Lonchura striata: one gene and its partner. The protein of the gene in region 2 interacts with the protein of the main gene of each other region in a pairwise test. Links are inferred from orthologs where the notes say so. Each region holds a gene or a part of one and is shown on either strand. Other genes may lie near its edges.

Region 1 (7,714 bases), about 43 Mb from region 2:
ATGCATGCAAAACAATACAGCATAAGCTATACATTTAACAAAATCCCCAGCCTTACCAGTCAGTAACAATTCTTCTTTGAATTGTATTCCATGAAGCAACTTTATCAAATGGACAGATGTAGAGATGAGACCCAAGTTCCTGTTATTAAATTGGGAATAAAACATAATTATTCACTTGATATGGAATGCACTCAAAAAAATTTAAAAGGCTTTTTACCAAAGTTAACAGGAAATCTTTAGCATCTTCAGGACCTCTGAAACAAAAATAGTTTATCCTACATTACTGTCTGCCTATCAGTAGCTACATTACTACCATCAGAAGCAAATCAAAGGGGTTTATTGCATCATCCTGCATTTTACACATTTTGGACTCAGAATCTTCAGAGCTAAGCACCCTTTCCTCCCTTTTTGCTATTCTTCCTACCAGACATTAAACATTAGCAAGTTATTTCTGTAATTTAAATAGCTTTATTTCTGTAAGAACTTTGCTTTGTCTGGATGTCAAGCATCCAGAACAAGAGTCGTATCCTACTTCATAATAAACTTGGAGGATTTTCAATGCCAACAAAGCAGTTAGTGACAGCTACCAAAAAAACAACAGGGCAGCTGAAAGGGGAACATGCACAACTCTCAGAGAGCAGAGGAAGCCAAGTAATCATTTAGCCTTTCTCCAGTGAGGAGGAATCATAGGTAGACTCTCAGAATGACTTGCACTACAATTTCTGTGGCATTAACAGAATTCTGCCCCAGCACAGAAACTAAGACTTGGTCCCAGGTCAAAATTACATTCAGTTCAGTAAACCAAATTTGACATGTCCCAAGAAGCCAATTTTTATTACTGTAGTCCCCAATAATTTTTGATATAACCAACTTGTGACAAGTTCTGGTGGTTTTTTTGTTGGTTGGTTAGCTTGGGATTCTCATGGGGCAGCCGAGCAAGGAGGGTGTTTGCTGCTATTTTGCTGAGTTTTTTAAAAACATCAACCAGACTGTCAGGTTTTCACTAACTACAACTAACTGGTTGTATCACAAGCATCCCTTCAATATTGCAACAGACACAAGCAAAGAACAGAAAGACTAAATAACTTAAGAAACCAGATTGATTTAATATCCTTTAAGCTCAACTTGCCTGTATATATGTAGATCAATATGGATCAATATGGTTCAATATGCACATTTCTTCATGCTGTGTTTTGCCAGGAAAGCCAGACAGATTTAAATGAACCTTAAAAGACATGCTAATTCTGTAATTGATTATTAAGACCAGTCACTGATTCATTATTCATTATGTTATAAAAAATTAAAGAAAAAGAAAAAATGATAGTTCTACAGTCAGGCTTCCAGGAGGCTTATATCATTTGTGTAACCAACTTGCATTACGGACCCTAACACTTTGTTCTATTACTGAGCAGGGCCCTAAACTGACCTACAAATAGGGCAACTAATTTTGTTTCTTGCATATTTGAATTCAATTGATTCCATCAAGCAGGAAATGCCAGTTAATAAATCAACTAACAGAACAGTGTAAAATAATCTCTTTTATAAAACCACATAAACAGCTGAAGGTGGTACTTTGGTATGGGCTAAGAGGGTTCACAACTGTACCTCAAGACACGTTGATTCTTGGCACACTCAACACATGCGTTCCTCAGGCATCTGAAGCACTCTGCTATGAGCAGCAGGCAGGTGTCTAAATCTGTCAGCCCACAGGAGTCCTTACAGGTCTGCTCAAGGGCACTAGCAGTGCTCTTCAGGATTTCCAGGACATCCTGAAACACACTTTCTTCTGCTGTTTCTCTGAAATAGATAAATTTGTGAAGTCAGAGCAGCCCATCCTGCCATGCTGGGCATGGTCCTTTGTCCCCAAGGCTCACATCCCAAAGCTTTGGCCTCACATGGGAATGAGACTGTCCCCCAGCAGGGCCTCACACAGACACATCTCACCCACTTCTGAACACCCTGAAGGGCTTCCATGGTTTTTTGCCCCAGAGCAGCTACATCCCACCTAATGTGCCTGCCCAGAAAGGCACCACAAGCCCCACAAGTAGTCCATGGAATCCCATGAGGCTCAACAAGAGCCAAGTGCTGGCACTGCACCTGGGTCAGGACAACCCCCAAGGATCAATTCAGCCTAGGGATGAGCAGATGGAGCAGCCTGGGAGAAGGATTTGGGGGTGGTGGTGCTGAGAGCTGGACGTGCCCTGGCCACGTGTATTGGGAGCCAGAACACCCCCCTGTGCTGGGCTGAGCCCCCAGCATGGGCAGCAGGGGAGTGAAGGGGGGAATTCTGCTTCCCTGCCCTGCTCAGGTGAGACCCCACCTGCAGAGCTGCCTTGAGCTGTGGGGTCCCAGCACAGAAAGGAGATGGAGCTGTTGGAGAGAATTCAGACGAGGCACCAAGCTGTTTAGACAGATGGGGCAACTCTACAATTAGGAAAGGCTGAGAGACTTGGGAGTGCTCAGCCTGGAGAAGCAGCTTTGAGCTGACCTAAACAATGCCTTCCAGTACCTGATGGGAGCCTGCAAGGAAGATGGAGATTATTGACACCAGCCTGAAGTGACAGAACAAGGGGCAATAGCTTCAGCCCGATGGAGTAGGTTTAGACTGAATGTTAGGAAGAAATCTTTCCCTGTGAGGCCAGGGAGGTCCTGGGACAGGTTTGCGAGAGAAGCTGCAGCTGCCCCATCCCTGAAGTGTCCAAGGTCAGTCTGGACAATGCTTGGAGCAACCTGGGGCAGTGCAAGATAACCATGCCCATAGCAAGGGTGGGATAGGATGAGTTTTACCGTTCCTGGAACCCAAGCCATTCTGTATCTCTAGGATAACTGGTGCTACCCACAACTAAGAAACAAACACCTTTTCTCCCTGCCACAGGCACAAGGCCTGAGCACACTGCAGCTCCTCATGGAGCCCTGGGGCAGGACAGATCACCCCCCGACACACGCACAGCCCCACGAGGAATCCGGGGGTGCAGAACCTCCCCAGGACTTGATGCGCACCCCCACGGGGGCACCGAGAGCCCCTTTCCGAGCCACGTTGGGGCAGGACCGCGCCGGGAGCCGAGCCCGACATCCAGCGGCAACGCCGCTCCCTGCTCCCCTCTACCTGGGCTGCGCCTCCCGGAGCAGAGCCGACAGCGCCCGCACGCTCTCCAGGCGGGCCGCGGGCAGCGCCGCCGCCATCGCCCGCCCCGGGCCCGGGACCGCCCCCGCCGCCATCGCCCGGGACCGCCCCGGGACCGCCCCCATCGCCGACCCCGCCCCGGTCCTGGGACCGCCCCCGCCATCACCCGACCTGCCCCGGGTCCGCCCCCGCCCGCGGAAATGGCGGCGGTGCCGCGCCGCCGGGCGTGAGGGCCGCGTGCGGAGGCGGCAAGATGGCCGCTCCGCCTGAGGGGCGCCGCCTTCCCTCAGCTGCGCCTCGCCGCCCGCGCCTTTTCCCCTCAGCAAGCTCTCCGCGCGCCGCCCGCTCCCGTCACGCCGCGCGCCCCACACCGCGCCGCGCGCTCCTGGGGAGACCCGTCTCGGAGCAAAACAAATATTAAATTAATACAAAAATACATGAATTGCGGGAATTATTATTTCATGCTTAATGTCCTAATTATATACAAATTTACCAGCTTGTGGCAGGGATGTGAAACTAGATGATTTCTAAGGTCCCTCCCAGTCCAAGCCTTAATACTACTTTGCTCCAGGTTTTGAAATATTTTTAAATTAAATTCTACATTTTTAATATTTGTTTTTTATACATACCGTTCAGCATTTTCTAAACATGTATGAGAAGTTCATCTGTATGTGTGTGGGTGGGAAATTAGCTTCCGATGGTCAAAAAGACTAATTGTGACTGAACACTAGAGAAAGCAGACTCATTGCTCTTGCACAGTGTGCAATCACTCTCCACATTAAACCTGCTGAGATTGCTCTGTATTTGCAGAACTCCACATGAGAAACTCACTTTTTGGGGACTGTGGCAGCCATTGCTTAGCATCTGTGGAGCAAAGTCTTACAAAATCCTGCATGAAATCCTGGAAATGCTATCTGCTTTCTGTTGCTTGGCAAATGTAATTCACCTGCTAAGCTTGGAGGCCAGCCTGGCTACTTCAAATATCTCACAAAGGTGCTGTTGGAGAAATGGGAATACTGTCTGAAATTCTATCTCATTCCCAGAAAATAGAAATAAATGTGCCTACTAGGGAGCAGAAATAACAAAAGAACTCACCACCACTTGGTTGCTCCCAGAGAGTAAAGAAGCACGTGCTTGAATATTTTTGAGGAACTCACCAGTTAAGCAGTCTTCCTGAACAGAGGTGTCAAACCAATGAATGGAGGAGCAAAGGGAAATGCCCACAGGGAATCCCACACTGCTTGGAAGTGCTTCCATGTACCAGCATTGGTGTACCTGCCAAAGCTGAGAAATTTGCTGCAGGGAAAAAACAAGGCCTAAAAGAATGAAAAGCAAGGAAAACTCATATAGTGACTCAGTATCTCCTATTTTGGATTACTGCTGGTGTTTGGAATTGGAGAACCGTAGCTATGATCCTGACCAAGCTTCATACTGAGAAATAGAGATTAAACTCCTCCAGCTCTGTCAAAAGCCTGACATCTAGTGGAGGTAAAATAGTGGGCAGCAGAACTCAGCCTAAAACTATTAGACTGTAGAGTTTGAATGATTCACTGCTGGTGTAGAGTCAATTTAATTTGTTAATTCCATCTGTGAAATGAGTTAGTCTACTCATCTTTATTGTACACTAAAATCACAGGACACATGTTCTTTCCAACTCAGGATAGCTTAGGATTCTAAATCACAATAACCTCAGTCTTCAAAAGATTTTCCATATGTGCAACATCTGTCAGCAGATAAGCTTTGCAAGGTGAGAGCTATAGGCCTGGGATTGATATCTTCATGTTAGGAGACAAATTCCTATGAAGTTTGCTTTTGCAGAATTTATGAAAGCCTAATGTCATCTTAAGAAATGTCATTAGCCCAAGTCTAATGTGATCTTAAGAAATAATATTTTAGAAGATGCTACTGGTAACTAGAAGTTGCTACATATATTATCTCTATTATTTCTAGAGAATTGTCTCTAAGGAGAAAATATATCCAGTGATACAGAGTTGCTAGACTGACAGAACTGAGAAATAAAGGGTTAAACTTCAGTTTTACAGAATCTTTTTCTTTAGATCTTTGTCAATTTTTGCAGCTATAAGAAAAGCTTCGATACTTACAAGAAAAAAGTTATTGAAAATTGTAAGCATTCATTTTGATATAATATTATGAAGCTTGTGAAGTTCTAGTTAAAAATCTCAGAACTTAATTTTCTCAGAATTTTCCTATGCTGGCTTAATATTCATTGAAAGAATCATGCAACCTAAACTTTAAAAAAAGAACAAATATTGCTATTAAAATAACATCAGAAGATTTCATAAGGTTCAGATATAAGGATTTTTTTTGCTTTTAAATTTCAAAACCTTAACCCATTGAAGAAATATCTGATGAAATCTCCCTGTCATACCTGTGAATTTGCATAAAAGAAAATTAAGTTTCTTTTAAACCAGTATGTAAAGGCTGTCGAAAACCATTTGTCTAATTATGTATATGAAGAGAAGCTTTGATCCATTCCTGTTTTATATGTCTGTTTCCAGAAGGTCATGTTAGAAGACTAAAGTGATAGATTATTAATTTTTTTTAGCTAACATCTTTTTTAAGCAGACACAAATTTATGTCAAGTTTAATAGTTTCCATCTGCATCTACTGATTATAAGATTTGGCCTCCTCAGAAGTCATAATTTGTATGTGTATGACAAGCTTTTAAATTAAAAAAATCCCACACTCTTTAATGACTGGGAGTAATAATACTTTGGAGCTATAAATTTCCCAGCTCCCATGGAGATAAAAGCAGATATTGAAGGAGGCATTTGTCCATCTGTTCACCTGTGCAACATTCTCCTTAAGTCCAAAACTTATCCAAATAAAATCAGCCCCCTGTGTCTGCATCTGTGTGCCACACTTGCTAGATCTAGGCTGCCTAAGCTTTTTTAGCCTCCCCTTCCATACTTCACCAGTCTGAGTGTGCCTCATACCTCAGTAACACAGCATGCAGATATTAAATAATATACATTAATAATTAAAATGTTAACTATTAATTCCATGCAAACACAGACATGTTCAGGACACTGTCAGGGATGGGTGAGCCTGCTTTTTGATCTGAATATGTGCTGATATTCACAGAATACAAATGCTGCTTACACCAGAGGGTGAAACAAGGAGAAAACTTTGTGATGAATCAGAGGTGGAGCCTCAGTTGGCAGGAATTGGGTCTGGGATCTGATTCTTTCTTCCCTTTTCTCCTTGCCCATCATTTTTGTGACTCTGCACCTGCACAAAAACTCTGAGTCTTCCATTACCTTTGGGAATTTTTATTTTTTTGTCTCCCTTTCAGAGTGGTCTGGTTTAAAGGCAGAACTAAAGGCAGCAAAGCACAACATGGTATTTGTGGCTGCTAGACTTTATTTTTGTCTCTTAGCCATGCTTGCCCCGCACAGATGGAGCGGCCGTCCTTGGCTCATCCTGCCCCCAGGGTGCATCACAACCAGGGTGCAGCAGGAGTCCCTGCCCAGCACCTCTGCTGGGAGCATGCAGGGTGAGATACTTGTGCTCCTATTTCATGCCAGAGTCATCAAAAGCCAGAGACACATCTTAGACAAAATCTGTTGCATTGTTTTCACAGCTAGAAACTCCATCCAGCTACATCGACTTACCTTCCCAAACTTAAATACTCTTACCTCCTAAAATGTTATTTACACCTGCATGCCTGACTTCTAAATATGCACTGTAGCTTCCCACTAGCCATTCATGGACAAATGAGGAGTCACTTGATAAGCCAAAAGCAAGTAACAGTCAATTTTTCCTGCAGAAGACAAAAGTTTGTAAAACCCTCATGATCAGATGAAGAGTTTGAGTACAGTGTGCACCTTCATTCCTGAAGCAAGGAGTGCCTCTGCTGAGGAATCTGTTATAAATCACATTTTTAGTGAAACTGGCAAAGCTGCATAACTCTGGCCTCAGGGAACCTGTCTAATTTGTCAGCTAAAATTCAGTCTCCTAATAGAAAACTAGTCCGTTCATGCTTTGTGAAGGCTAATTGCCCATGGAAGGAATCTGCTCAAGGAACTGTCAGCAGTGATGTGCTGTGGTACTGGAGCTGCCCAGGAAAGGCAGGCAGAGCTCCCCTTCCTCTCGTGCTGCCCTTGAACCATGCAGCTGCTCTCCCCCAGAAAGGTATGTTTGGTCAGGGTTGCAGGAGCCAGAGAGTTCCTTATTCACCAATGTCCTTCTTCTGCCCTGCAACAGAAAGTGCTTAAACTCACCACCTCTTGGAAAGGGACACAAATAACATCCAGCAAATAGGAGCTTCCAAAAATAATCCTTGGAAGAAACACTGCTTCAGCTCTTAAGAAATTGTTTTTTATAGTCATTCAAGTACATTGTGAACTGCCAAAGCTCCAGCATTTAATAAATTGCCACAAATTTAACACTTCCTATTTCAAAGAAGAACTGAGTTTATTTTATTGGACTAAGGAAAGTAGTTACCGTATTTTCTAACTGCAAGTCAGAGTTTAATTCCCTTCCATAATGTTAGGCATGCAGTAGGTTTTTCTCTCCTAGGATATTATTCTCTGGTGTTTGCCCCAAACTTCAGTAAGCAAAGTAACT
Region 2 (7,286 bases):
ACAACAAAGCTTGATGCTCCATTAAAGACCAGACCTAAAGTTCACCAGAATTTCAGGATTAATGGTACATTCCCCTTAGCACTTCCAACTGCCTGAGCTGTGAAAAATAAAACAAAGCTGAAGGCTCTTCCTATAACTGCCATATGTAGCAGGAAAATCAAAGGCTAAATATTACATTAAACATTTAATTCTATTGCTATTCCAGGCATATGTATTTGTTCTCAATAACTAGAAAAAATAAACTGATAGAAGACAAAAGACACACCCAAAAAAAGTACAGTAATTTTACCTTTGCTGAGATAAATTTACTTCTCTGAAGAGCAATGTCTTCTACACGGGATCTAACAGATGACACAAAACAGAAAAGAACCCAACCAAAGAACCACAATGCAACAGCACTCCATGACAATCTTAAACATAACAACATCGACTTGAACACAATTACCATTAGTCAGTCAAAAGTGTCAGGAAGAATGACAAGTTTTTGAAGAGCTTCTTTTGAAAACAGATACAGAATTTTTCACACTGCAGCCAAATTGGATTAAATTAATTCATGCTACAGACTACATGTGTGATTTGCACCTTTTATATGGCATATTGGAAGAAAATAAGATTTTGTGTTAATAATGAAGTGAAACCATTCAGAGTTGTCACAGGCAGGGATTCATTGTATGTTTTTTTCACAGCAACAGGTAACTTACTGTACTGCCTCAAGAGGATTATAACTTCACAACTGATCTTATTTGCTTCCAGTATCATAGAATCAGAAAAGGTCTTTTGGTATCACTAAAGGAGGGGAGGGGACAGGAGGAGCATGAGCAAGGATTTTAGCAGTGATGTAAATCTTCACCTCTGTTCCCTTAGACTTTGCCCTTTCAAATTGCAAGCTGACTACAACATACAAAAAAGGGGGGAGAATATGCTCAGAATTACCCTGAGGAAAGCTTTTTTGTATACTGTATCAAAGACATTTTGAAAATGCCTTCTGGACATCAGAAAGAAAGAACACCATCTCTTATTCTAACAATAGAGTTAAACTAAACATCATCCTTCCCTACCAATGACTGGAGTACAGCAACTTGCAGATCCAAGGATCTGCCAATTAAGGTATGGCTTCTCATAGAGAGCTCCCTGGAAGCATGAAGCTACCAAAACTTGATTAGTGGAGGATAAATACAGAAAACCTTCCAATGAAGTGACAGGCTAGCCTGCACTCAGGTAACTGCGCTGCAGTAACACGCTGACAGGCTTAACCGCAACACACACTCATTCTTCCAGTTCAGTTCACAACTGAAATTAAACCAACACTCTTTACAGGGTGACAACAGCAAGTGACAACTCAGCCACAGCAAACAGAGCAAATAGTCATAGAATTTTATAACCCATATTCAAGAGGGGATTCTATCCAGTTCTGCAAGGCAGTTTATGTATTTCTAGAGCCTCATAGCCTTGAAAAACCTATATAGGATGGAGAAAACAAATTCACCATCTCATTTTTTTTTAATGTAAGAAACCACCTCACCTAACCATTTTGGGAAAATTTCTACTTGATCAACCTACAACACATAAACATTAAGATATTTTTTGAAACTACTGAACAACTTACAAACTTAAGAACAAGAAGCTAGCCTGTCAAAGGTATTTTATTGCTTTATAGATATTCAGTGAATCTAATATTGCGTGGAAACTTTTGGCCTTCTAGAGAAAAAAACTATTCAGGCAAACCCGCATTATCTCCGGATTGCCACAGCCTTTCCTTATTTGGCTAACGTTTTGAGATTCCAATCAGACTGCTATGAAGTTCAACATGCACAAAGCATCCATTTTGAGGAAACTTCACAGCCAGTTTCCCGTGCATTCCCCCCCTGACCCAAGTGAAAGTTACCTCCCTTGGTACCAACACCCCTCCCACATACCCACACCAGAACAAAGCGATATGGATAGGGTTTTTTAATGCTCTCCAACGCACGAAAAAAAAATTTAAGATCCCTGTTCCGCTTGAAGTTCAGCTTTCACACTGCGGCGGGAGCCATCGTAACGAAAACAACCCCTTACTGATACGCGTTTCTATATAATGAACAAAACACTGGCTTCCCCTAGAAACCGGAGAAAAATAGATGATCTGTCTCTCAACAGGGCCGCCCGCACACACGAGCGGGCTTTAATCGGCTCAACTACTGCGGAACCGGGGAGACGAGGGAAGCAGGGAGCTACTACCCGGATTCCAGGCAAGGGGCAGCGGCAGAAGCGCCCCCCGAGGGCGGCCCGCTTCTTCTCACCTGCAGCCACCCTCCCTCGCCGGGGGGCATCTACCTCCGGCCCCCTCAGCCCATGCTGGGCCGGGCCCGCACCCCCAGCCCTCCAAGGGAAGCGCTGCCAAAAGGGGAAAACGAAAGAAGGTGAGCGGCACCTCCTTCCCGCCGGAGGAGAGGCCCATCCGCCCATTCCGACGCCCAGCTCGCGGGGAGGGGGTGCAGCCTCCCGCCCCTGCGGCCCCGCCGGCCCGGGGCTCGGCCCGCGGCCCCGGCCGGTCCCAGGCTGACCCTGCCGCCACCTCCCCGCCCCGACACCCCCCAGCGGAGGGAGCGCAGCCGCCTCCGGCCCCTTCCTCCTCCACCTCCTCCTCCGGAGCGGAGGAAGGGGGGGGGGAGGGGGGGCAGCCGGCCGGCCTCGCCCCCTCCGCCCCAGTCCGGCTGGGGTCCCTCCTCGGCCCAGCACCGACCTGGTGGAGAGCGGTGAGCCCGTCCACATTGGCGTAGTTGATGTCGGCGCCCCGCTCCAGCAGTCGCAGCACCTCCTCGGTGTCTCCGCTGGAGCAGGCGGCCAAGAAGACGGCGCCGTCGTCAAACTTCACCTTGGTCTTCTTGCGCTTGACCACGGGCGGCTCCAGGTCGGTCTCGGAGCCGATCCAGCGCTTCAGCTGCTCGTTCCGCTTCTGCTTGGCGTCCGCCATCTTCATGCCCCGCTCGCGCCGGCCCCCTCAGCCACGGCCGCGCCGAGCGTACACTTTATACCGCCACTATCCCACAGCGCACCGCGGCCGCGCGCGCTCACCCGCCCAGGGAGGGCGCGGGGCGGGCGGGGAGCGGAGAGGCGGGGCGGCGGCGGCCTCGTTAGCATAATCCCGCGAGATCGCGGGGGGGCAGTGCGGCGGGAGGCCGCGCGCGAGCGGGGCGGGGCCGCGCGGGCCGAGTGGGCAGAGGGCAGAGGGGAGTGGGAGTGGGCGTGGGCAGAGGGCAGTGGGGAGTGGGCAGAGGGGAGTGGGCAGAGGGCAGTGGGGAGTGGGCAGAGGGCAGAGAGCAGTGGGCAGAGGGCAGAGGGCAGTGGGGAGTGGGCAGAGAGCAGTGGGGAGTGAGCAGAGGGCAGTGGGGAGTGGGCAGAGAGCAGTGGGGAGTGGGCAGGGAGCAGTGGGGAGTGGGCAGAGGGCAGTGGGGAGTGGGCAGAGAGCAGTGGGGAGTGGGCAGAGAGCAGTGGGGAGTGGGCAGAGAGCAGTGGGGAGTGAGCAGAGGGCAGAGGGGAGTGGGAGTGGGCAGAGGGCAGTGGGCAGAGGGGCGTGGAGTGGGCAGAGAGCAGTGGGGAGTAAGTCCAGCCCCGCCTCCGTCGGGCCCTTTCTAAAGGTGCTGCCCATTCCCGACGGTGACTTCTGTCACCTGCGGCAACAGGTGGGTGTTTCTGCCTGCGTTGGCAAACGAGGCATATGGAACCACTTGACTGGAAAAGAGAAAATAAATGGAGCAACATGGTTGAGGGTCATTTGTTTTGGGAGGTTAGATAGGACTACCTCAGCACAGTTTGATCTACAAAAGCACCCCCTTTGCCTCTACACTTCAGGGGGCCTCTAGGGAAGCTGAGGAGAGACTCCTTTTCAGGAACTGTAATGATAGAACCAGGAGTAATGGGCACAAATTACGCTAGATGTTTTTGTAAAAAATTCTTCATTGTGAGTGCGGTGAGACACTGGAACAGGTTGCCCAGAGAGGTTGTGGATGCCCCAGCCTGGCAGTGATTAAAGCCACTTTGGATAAGGCCTTGACCAGCCTGGTGTAGAGGGAGGTGCTGCTGCCCATGGCAGGGGATTTGGATTAGTTGATTTTCAAAATCCATTTCAACCCCATCACATTCTGTGATTCTATCATTCTGCATGGCAGTGGACAAAGCCCTGTGATTGTTGTCCTTTTCACTTACAGTTCACTTCCATGATGTCAAAACTGGGGAGTAGCACAGTCATCCTTTCTCTTGGGAGAAAACAAGTAGTTAACAAACCACACAGGATTTGAAGATACAAAGACTAAAATGTTTTTCTTCAGATTTGCAACTTCTAGGAACCAAGCTATAACAGATAATAAAGTTTTTTTTTCTATGCACAGCATGCTTTCTTTAGCTAAGCAATATGTATTTGGCTTTAAATGGAATAATCTCTGGGATAAAATGTGGTTTTGAACTTACTGGAAAATAAGTTTTATTTTCAACTAATTACAGGAAACCAAGTATAGTTTGAGAGAGTCACCAAACCTCATACACTTCAAATTTTGCATAATTTGTGCTTTTCTAATTACAATGTCTCCTTCTTACGGTGGGCAATTGTGCAGCTGACTAGGACTCTTATTTCCATTTATATTGATAAAGATGTCCGTGACATTTCACAAGAAGTAGTAGTTGCAAGATACCTGCAGCAATGTGCTGTTCTTAATGTCTTTCAGAAGAGATTTTCATCTGGAGATATTTGCATAATATCCATCAGACTTACTTATACAGCAGTGCATGAGCTACATGCACTGACAGTTTGCAGGCGTAATGTGATTGAGAACAAAAGACAACATCTGGTAGTCAAGAAGAAAGATTTGCCAGAAAAAGATTTGCAGTCTAAGTAGGTGGATGAAAGATTACCTGGCACCTAATTTATACCTTCCCTTTGGCAGCCTGTGTCTATCCAGGGGTACATTTTAGGTTCCTGGATTTGAAAATATGGCTGACTGCAAAGCACAATTCAAGACCAGTCTTTGCAGTGTTTATTACTCACACGAGTGATTTGGCTGTGCTTTGGCATAGCACTGGTACCACCCAGCATGGCATGGACAGTTACCAGCTGGGAGCTTGGCTGCAGCACCTGACTCATGTCTAAGGAGGGAATTTGTGCAGGTTCCAGCCTCCTGCTGTAGTCTTGTCCTTGTGGGCAAACTCTCCCAGGGCAGACTCAACACAGTGCCATTTCCTAAGGACTTGAAAACTATACCCTGGAAAAAGGCAATGCAAGACAAAAGCTTCTTTCCCCTGCCCCAGATGTCTCAGATATTTTACAAGTCACCTCCCCATCATGCTTCTCTCTCAGTTGGCTGTCTGAAAATTTGACTCTTCAAGAAACCTCATATCTGAAGAATGTTTGATTTCAGCAAACAATATTTAAATATAGTGCTTTATTAGCAAGAAAGTAATTCTAGGCAAATAGATAGGCATATGTTCAACATGCACTTTCTCAGGAATTTCAATGTCACGGAGCAAGTTTCTAAGTTTTCATTAGAGTTCCAGTCCCCTCTGCTTGATTTCAATTTTCCAGTTCAGCTTTTTCTTTCTGGTCAGGGATCCTCTTTTAACTCCAACTTGCTCTTCTTGTCTCGTTAGTGAAATGCAGAAGTTCTACAGCTCAATTTTATTCTTAAATAAAATATTTTTTTATTCTTAAAACCCAGATTTCATATTTTCCTTTTATTCTTCTTTCCAGGAAAGTTTTTTCACTGATTCAGCTCCAGCTTTTCAGAGAACTTCAGCAAATATTTTTCCATTCACTGCAGCTATTTGTATGCTCCAAATTCTTGACATTATTTTCCTTGACTTTTTAATTTTTTTGGATTGCACATCATGGTAGGGAGTTATGTTTGAGGGGTTTTGCAGACACTACAGGCAAGATATAATTCATTTGTACAGTCAGCTGAAACTCAGATATTCCATATATATTGAGTATGAATGTCCTTTGGAGATAGCTATGTGCTCTGCTGGAAATTATATGTAGTTCTTAAATCTAGCAAAGCATATGGTCTTCCTTAAGCAAAAAGTAGAGTTGTAATTTCTGTAAACTAGTTAATCTCTGCAAGTGTTCACACTTCAAGAAGGGAATAATAATACTAATAATAATATTTTTAATTTCTAATTTTTTCCTACCTCATATCTCTAATAAATGTTTGCAATTTAAATAGCAAAGGCATATTGGGTCATATTCTTTACCCCATCACAGTGCCATTCTACCCCATGTCTAATGTCATCCCATGTCATTGGAAAATCAGTGTAGCTGAGAGATGAGACGGTCTAGAGCTTCTAATTCCATACAAATTGAGCTAAACATATATAAATACCAATAATAATTTTGGTACAAATATGAAATTATTTTCCCATTATTTGCCTAAGCCTGGAGTGTTAAATTCATTTGTGTAAAGGGTTAGAGCAAACATATATTAAAGCTGTTTTTGAAGACCATGTTAAAAGTGAGTATCAAATTAGTTCTAAAAGAGTCACTACTGCAAGAGAGTATCACAAGAGTGAATTAGATAACTGCATAAGTATGCATGTTTACAATAATCATAGTTGCTAATAAGAGGCACTTAACCATTTGAGCTACATTATGAGTGCAACTTAAGGATGTGTCCTACGTTAGATCTAGTTTTATCAGGCTTTTTCGGTGTATTGCTACCAGACTACCCAACACACTAGGTGTGCTGTTAAATCCTTTGTTTGCATGTATATACACAATCCCAAAGGTGATTAAGTATGTAATTTTCCACATACAAATACTAGCACTGAATTCAGTACAGCTGTTTTTCTGTAGAGGTGATGATGTAAACATTTCACAGAGATAGCATCTATGTGTATACATGTTTCCAGTAAATTTAATGACAGGCTTCAAGTGATCAATACAATGATTTAGCAATGAGATTGCTATCAGTGTGTTTTCTGGTTTTCCATCCTTTCTTAAAAGCACTACAACCATTGTTCAAAGCTATTTCGCACAGGCTTCTAGACAACAAATGTTCACAGATTAAGCTTTTGACTACCCAAGATCATCATCTTTTGGGATGTAGAATTTTGTTCTGACCTCCAAGTGGATAATTGCTGCCGTGTCTCTCATTTTGTACAGCATTACACACAGTGTGGCTTCTAAAAATTTTGCCTTAAGATTTTCTCCCCTGATTGAAGGAAAACTAATAGATCAAAGTTAATGTCATCAATTCCAGCTCTGGGAAAAAAAAAGGGTAATTTGAAGGATAGTGACAAATATTGAATATATATATTGACAA

What was found.
Region 1: the proteins of PPP1R12A (region 2) and ATXN10 interact in binary tests that used the Homo sapiens proteins (3 or more experiments, as listed by UniProt). The link is inferred for Lonchura striata from reciprocal best matches to the Homo sapiens genes PPP1R12A and ATXN10.

Annotation. Positions count from the first base shown.
Region 1 is NC_134607.1:5,565,169-5,572,882, forward strand, and holds the start of ATXN10 (ataxin-10), read right to left. Parts: upstream 3,222-7,714; 5' UTR 3,220-3,221; coding exon 3,107-3,219; intron 1,798-3,106; coding exon 1,606-1,797; intron 140-1,605; coding exon 57-139; intron 1-56. UniProt on the Homo sapiens protein: May play a role in the regulation of cytokinesis. May play a role in signaling by stimulating protein glycosylation. Induces neuritogenesis by activating the Ras-MAP kinase pathway and is necessary for the survival of cerebellar neurons.
Region 2 is NC_134607.1:48,671,423-48,678,708, forward strand, and holds the start of PPP1R12A (protein phosphatase 1 regulatory subunit 12A), read right to left. Parts: upstream 3,072-7,286; 5' UTR 2,960-3,071; coding exon 2,723-2,959; intron 2,431-2,722; exon of another isoform or gene 2,411-2,430; intron 1-2,410. UniProt on the Homo sapiens protein: Key regulator of protein phosphatase 1C (PPP1C). Mediates binding to myosin. As part of the PPP1C complex, involved in dephosphorylation of PLK1. Capable of inhibiting HIF1AN-dependent suppression of HIF1A activity.